Linked DNA regions of Nothobranchius furzeri. The protein of the gene in region 1 purifies or fractionates together with the protein of each later gene. This does not show direct contact. Links are inferred from orthologs where the notes say so. Each region holds a gene or a part of one and is shown on either strand. Other genes may lie near its edges.

The links.
Region 2: the proteins of cdca5 (region 1) and pds5b purify together in Homo sapiens (affinity purification with western blotting; 4 studies listed by BioGRID and IntAct, with this or other methods). This does not show direct contact. The link is inferred for Nothobranchius furzeri from reciprocal best matches to the Homo sapiens genes CDCA5 and PDS5B.

The regions. Positions count from the first base shown.
Region 1 is NC_091759.1:26,796,850-26,800,367, forward strand, and holds cdca5 (sororin), read right to left. Parts: upstream 2,020-3,518; coding exon 1,267-2,019; 3' UTR 825-1,266; downstream 1-824. UniProt on the Homo sapiens protein: Regulator of sister chromatid cohesion in mitosis stabilizing cohesin complex association with chromatin. May antagonize the action of WAPL which stimulates cohesin dissociation from chromatin.
Region 2 is NC_091750.1:61,974,788-61,978,616, forward strand, and holds part of pds5b (sister chromatid cohesion protein PDS5 homolog B), read right to left. Parts: intron 3,262-3,829; coding exon 3,146-3,261; intron 1-3,145. UniProt on the Homo sapiens protein: Regulator of sister chromatid cohesion in mitosis which may stabilize cohesin complex association with chromatin. May couple sister chromatid cohesion during mitosis to DNA replication.

The DNA.
Region 1 (3,518 bases):
TTAGACACTCGTTTATTTAGTTTATCAGCAAAAAAAGTTGATTTGGGGGTGACTTGCTCTTTAAGTAGCCTTTTATTTTTAGAAAATGTTTGTAATTTTAATTGTTTTTCTTTGATTTGATTATTTAAATGTGTTCTACCTTTTACAAAAGGTGTCTGTGGACAAGTGCTGCAAATTAGCATTCATGCTAACACACTGAAACCATGCATCTGGTTTGTCTGATGTAATTGCTGTCCATATCACACACACACGGTGTTTTAGGGTTTGAATCTTGTCTTTAGCTTCAGCCTCTGTTAACCGAGGTCAGCTGTTGGTTTCTACCTAAATTCATTCATTCATAGTAAAGCGCTGGATTAAGTCCTCTGAACGGACCAGGTGTTCACTGAGAGACACAATGATGTGAATTACAGTAAATGTGTTATCTACATTCACCCTTTCATCAGTACCAGGGTTGTTTATATTTAAATTAATGCTGTCAGGTAAAGTGCTGATGTCATGGAGTGTGTGACCAATCGTGTGTTCTGGTCTGAAGTTTGGTTTTAAACACAGTAAATGTGTGATCATGGTCAATGTTGTTGTTTGTGTTTAACACTAACCCAGACTAACTGTAGCCCAGATTAACTATAACCCAGGTTAACTGTAGCCCAGACTAACTATAACCCAGGTTAACTGTAGCCCAGACTAACTATAACCCAGGTTAACTGTAGCCCAGACTAACTATAACCCAGGTTAACTGTAGCCCAGATTAACTATAACCCAGGTTAACTGTAGCCCAGATTAACTCTAATCTGAAGTGACGTGTGAACAGGTCAACAGGCAGGGTGCTTGCTTCAGTGTGGGTTTATTAGGAAGCAGAAAGGAAAACTGACAGGAAAACCTGGAAAAGTCCAACAAAAAACTCCACAAAGCCAGAAAAGCAGCTTTAACCTGAAGTCAGTTCAACTCTGTCAGCAGAGACGTTCTGGTTCTGGTTCGGTTCTACTGGGCTCGTGTTGTTTCTCTGGTTTATTCAGTAAAGAATACTGCATCAGAACCGGTCTGGGATCTGATCAGAACCGCTTAACCAGAACAAAGTCCGTTTTGATTTATCCAGAACTCTCAAGCTACAGAGCCGACACAGGAAGTCCAAATGGACCGAACCATGATGGTGTAGAGAAAAAAACCTTCACGAGCTACATATACAATCCATCAAGAGTCCCGGACGTATTTACACCCCCACCACCCCTCCAGTCAAAGATCCATACGCTGGTTCTGGTGGGTTCGGTTCTACTCCACCACCAACTCGAACTCCTCGGCCTCCCGGAACTCCGCGTTCATCTGAGCGGCCAGATGGTCCAGCTCGGCCGAGTCAATCTGCGGCACCTTCCGCCTCCTCCTCCGCTCCTTTGACACCGACACTCCGGGGATGTTCGGGTCCGGTTCAGCAAAGCCCTCGTCGGTCGATTCAGTGAAAGACGTGATGGGTCCAGAAACTTCCAGAGCGTCCCTGGTCTGCTTGGACTTCCGGACAACCTCCGGGGTCCTCAGCCTCTCGAAGCCGAATAACGTTTCTCTGGAGTCGGGGCTACTGTGGAGGGAACTGTCGCTGAGCCTGCTATAGGACCGGCGGGCTTTCTGCGCACACACGCCGGCCTCTGGTTCAGCAGCCGGCTGCTGGGTCCGACAGGAGTCCGGTGGGGAGGACGGGAGGATCCGTGAGGGCATGGGCGCCTGCTGCTTCTTCCTCGCGGCGGAGGAGGAGGCCCTGCGGTCCGGGCCGGGATCGGGGGTTGAGACTTTGGTCTTCAGCTGCTGTACCTGCTCGGAGTGCCTCGGCGTGTTCTCCTTGTTGTGTTTAGACGAAGCGCTCGTTTTTCTGGGCGCTATTTTCCGCACGGTGATGGAGCGTTTAATTCCCAGCGCCATCTTCTCACCTCCCAGCGGAGCTTGCGGAGAACTGAACCGCGGCGAGCGTCTTCGCTGCGGCCCGAGAGGACCGTTAGCTCCCGCCATCGCCCCATGAGGCGAGCCTTCGTCCATGCTGAAATCTGCCCACTAACAGCGAATTATTCACTCGGTTTCGATTGAATCTCCTCCGGTTGCTCAAACAACGGCGCCACTTTCGAAATTACCCGCTCGAGTCGCACGGTGATGACGACAACATCATCGTGACTCTAACAAGCCGCGCCAGTGGAAGAGCAAAGTTTTTGCTGTGTAATCCGGACGCTTGACGCTCATACTTGACTGCTGTCTCACCTGATTTTCACCGTTATTCCGTGTTGGTTCGGTTGGAGACGATGGAATATTTAATCGGTATACAGGGACCGGATTTCGTTCTCGTCGCAGCCGATAATGTGGCCGCCAGCAGCATCATTCAGATGAAACACGGTGTGTTAGCTACCTAGCTTAGCATTAGCTCTTCTCTCATTTGATTCTGTTTCTGTTTGTCAGACGCGTGTCTGCGTATAAGTCTTTATATTTTAGGATTTGCTGTTTCATTCTAACGCATTAATGACCATTTGTCACATTTTATTTGCCAAAGGAGATTAAAAAGTAAGACAATAAAGCCATTACCGGCCAATGAGAGGTACGATGAGCCTTTTAGAAATCAAACTTAGCTTCTGAGTTTAGTTCTGAGCTTTAGGATGTTTATATGCTTTATTCTAGCCTGCTAAATCTCGTGGTGAGCGACCCCGGCGGTGAAAGTGAAAGTCCGGTTGTGTTCAACAGAAACCAAATCAAACTGGTTCTGATCTAAAACAGTGCACATGTGTTACTGATCGTTGTTTAAAGTTAGATGTAAATGAATCTGATCTGAAGGGATGCTTCAGTCCAACCTCCTGGTTCTTTTTCAAAGTGATGTTTTCTCATCACTCGCCTGAATCCGGACCTGGTTTCTGTTTTTGGGGCGACTGGTGCTGACATCTGGCTTTTTTCAGAGGATGACTTTCACACTGAGTTTTGTTCTTTGGTGTCTCAGATTATGACAAAATGTTCAAGCTGAGTGAAAAGATCCTGCTGCTGTGTGTCGGAGAGGCCGGAGACACGGTGCAGTTCGCGGAGTACATCCAGAAGAACGTTCAGCTGTACAAGATGAGAAATGGTATGATGTGGTTGTGGCGCTCTTCCTTAGTTTCACCGTTTGTCACCAACAATTACTGATGCTTGTTTCCTGGTTTTAGGTTATGAACTCAGTCCAACAGCAGCAGCAAACTTCACACGGAAGAACCTTGCAGATTATCTCCGGAGCAGGGTTGGTATTCTGCACCACCGCTTTAAACAACTGTAATTATAATAATCTGTAAAAGTACGATTTTTACCGCTGGGGTGAAAATCCCGGTTTTTCTTGACTCCAGCGATGAGTCGGCTAAACCGCTGGCTGTTGAACCAGGTTTCTGTCCATGTTTTAGAAACGGCATGTTGCCCAGCGCTGCGCTAGTAGGAGGAAGCTGAAAACTTTGTGTGACATGTTTTCAGCAGTAAATCCTGTTGGATTGGGACTTGTTGTTGATGACCTGTTTTAGCCGACCAACGGTGTA
Region 2 (3,829 bases), on another chromosome or scaffold:
TTAAAGGGAGACTTTGCAGTTTTGGCTTGCTTTTAGCACCCCCTAGTGTCCAGTTAGTAAAACCAAAAGTGAAACTTATCTCCTCGCTGTGCGGTCGTTTTTTTAACACCAAAATCTAACCGTTGAAATGTCTCCCAGCCTTCATTAGTGTCTACAGGAGCGTTTCATCACTGAATTAAACAAATATGCTGTGCTCACAATCTAAAACTAGCAGGAAATGTGCTGGAAGCAGACTCAGGAAGCAGCACCAGGCATGTGATGCGTCAATCAACAACCTACAAATGTGAGAAAATGGGGCGGCGCTTTTTACCCGTCAATACATGAAGATTTAAAAGGAGTTTTCGAAGGTTTTCAGCTGTGTTTTATATTAGATTGTGGGTGTGAGACACTATTATATTACATTAATTGGACCCTCAGGGGCATAAAAAGACCATTTTTGTTCAAGATGTCTCCACTCTGCCAATGACACAATGCTTTGAATAGTGAGTCAGACATTATCGTGCACTTTGGAGTTGTTTGACAAAAGTGTTTAATGCATTAACAGTTATGATTTAATCTTGTTGCAATAAATTGCTGATTTGACCCAAAAGAATGTAATTTACTGATTGTGGTGCATGAAACACCAACAGGTTACTTGTCAACCAGATGGCAGCAGTGCATCATAACTTAGTGTTATTCGAGTCATCTGTTGAATATTCTTGTATCGTTTAATATCACAACTAGAGGCTCCTTATTGGCTTTTTTACAGATACCCTACACAATATCTTGACGCCTGAGAGCTTGTAACACAGGCTGTTTGATAGGTGATGTTTTGATTAATCACCTTATGTATGCAGATGACCTCATAGTTTTTAGCTCAAGTAGTGCAGGACTGCAACAGCTCCTAGATGTTAGTACCGAGTATGGAAAGGAATATGATTTAAAATATAACTCGAGCAAAAGTGCTGTTCTAATCTACAGAACCAGGCTTAATTTTCCTGTGTTTAAGTTGTCCAGCAAAAGTCTTGCGGTCTGTGAAAAGATAAAATATCTTGGACACTTAATCACAGCCAACATGAGCGACGGTGATGAGATTTACAGGTAGTGCTGAAAGCTATATGTGCAAGCAAACACCATTGCACAGAAATTTAGCTGTTGTTCCACACCTGTTAAAGTGGCGTCATTTAAAGCATACTGAACACCACTATATACTGCACATCTGTGGTCATTCTATAAAAAGTCGCGCTTGCACAGGTTACAAGTGGCATACAATGATGCAATGAGAATCCTCCTCAAAATTCCTAGGGGAGGAAGTGCTTGTCAAATGTTTGTTTCTGTGAGAGTGTGCACATTTAAGGCATTTTTAAGAAATGTAATGTTCAAGTTTATGAGACGGCTGGAAGAATCTTCCAGTAGTATTATAGTTGCACTCTCAAATCCCACTGTGCGCTGCTCTCGTTATATGTCTAGGCTGAGAATGCACTGGCCAAAATGTTTGGGTAGATTTATCACAACTAGTTAATTTTGTTGTCCCTTACGCCCACTGCAGTTATATCCTGTGATTTTATATAGGATCTTATTGGTATTAATGTTAACTGGTATCTTTTCTTTTCTTGTGTTTTTCTTGTATTGTTTCTTTTATCTTTATGTTATTTTCTTTTAAAATGGACTTTAAGTCTGGCAATAAACACACACACACACGCACGCACGCACACACACACACAAACACACACACACAATAATGCCTGCTTTTTAATTCCCGATGCTGACCTGTGCTGTGTCCTCCTCTCGTATTAAAAAGAAAAACATTTCAGGTTACTAACATCACTTATCTCCTCCAATGCATGCTTAAACTTTTATTAAACTTTAGTTAATAATAGGAAAAGTGCCTTATTTATTTTGTGTCCAATAGCAGCGGAATCTCAATCTCCCAAAGTGTGACTCTGAGATATTTTTATTAGTTAGTAATTAAGGGTTGACAGATTTATTGGTTGGCCGATATTTACTGTTTTTTATATACCAGCATCAGCTGATATTTGTCCTTAGTGAAGCTGAATTAAAGTCAGGCACGTGCTCAGGTAGCTTGGTAATGTTGCAGAATTTAATTTTAATGTTTTTTTACGTTCACTAATAACATTTGCATAATAAATACTCTAAATTAACTTTATGTAGGTGTCTGACTTTAACACTGAGCAGTGCACAAAGTTAAGATTTAACAGTTAGTTAAACTATGTGGAAAAGGTCTAGATATCAGCCTATAAAATTCAGCAGTATCTTTGGTGTGTTCTTGCTGTGTTGACATTCTAATGCCATCTTTTAGTACTTTTTCTTTTTAGTTTGTTTTAGTTCAGCAGTATTTCAGCCATCGCCTGACCATGTCTCCTACAGATCAACATCTGCCGCAGCAATAGAAAAATCTATATCGGTCGACCTTTATTAGTAACGTATTTTTTATTTTTCGGCATATTGCAGCTACGGTGATAAAACATTTATTAAGATCTTGAGATAAGAAAAGCGAGTCTTGGGTGAAGACTCGTGTTTGTTTTATTGTTAGCGGGCTAGCTACACATAGCTCCGTGCTGTGAGGACAGCGCACGTTCACTACAGAGGGCACATTTCTACTAGTTTTGCCAAATAAACTAAAATATCTCAAAGCTTAACCTCAGAGCTGTTACATTTTGACATTTTAAGATGGAGAAGTAGCAAAAGAGTGTTATGTACAATATGTGAATATCAAAGTTGTGTCATTATAAGACTGAAAATCGATATTATTTTCTGACATCAAAGTTTTATGCTGATTTCGGACGATATTAACGTTAGACCGATAGTATTGTCCAACATCCCTAATAACAGCATATAATGCAGGGTTAGATACAATTTCAATGTACCCATTGGTCTCATAAGACTGATAATTACCCATCAGATAAAAGAATACTGAAGTTACAAAGTAATCCTTGAGTATTTGGAACAAAACTACACAATAAGGCAGTTAGTTGATACAAAGTACATTAGAGAAGTAAAACACATAACTCCCAAAAAATACAAACAAATATGTCTAAGCCTTATAATAAACAAAGTGACTGACCAATAAACACATAAGGAGAGTTTGAACTTTTCCTTAACCCTTTAAAAGTCTGTCAACATCAAAAGAGCGTCTGAAACTCACCTGCCCAGGTAACACTGCCACAGGGGTTTGTTCTGTGCGGCTAACTCAGAGTCCTTGGCTCCAAACATCTTAGCTAGCAGCTTCACCACCTGCAGCCTCTCGTCATTATCGTTGCTCTGCAGAGACGGGGTTTGAAGAGACAGACGGAGAGAGAAATGAAGCACCAAATGCGGCGGCGTCAATTGGACCGGCGCACCACACCATTAACGACTTCCATTCTCATAACACGCAATTACTGCAGTTTTATTAACGTTAGTCTTGTTTCCACAGCGAAGTCGGAATGACAGAAAAGAAAATGGGAAAAGAGGAAGAAGAAAAGAAACAATAAGAAAAGATGTGTGTGAGAGGGAAAAGGGGACAGTGAGCGTGTGCTGAGACGGTGAGATTTTATCACAGCTATTATTTTGTGGAGGCAGCAGTGATCTACGCTCCCTCTGAACAGTTAATGAGCATTATCCATCAGCAGGACACCGTTATGAGATGCTGCAGAGGGAACATAATGCTGAATGCTTTATCTTTGTTATATGAATCAACAAACCTGCAGAGAAAACGGACAAATGCAGTTCTGTGGGTAATGGCTCAGAGAATCCAGGTTATCTTGCAGCATGAATAAACTCACAAACCCGTTTCAGAACAAACGGCAGCGGCTTCAGTGTGCAGAAATTATGAAACTAAACTAGATTT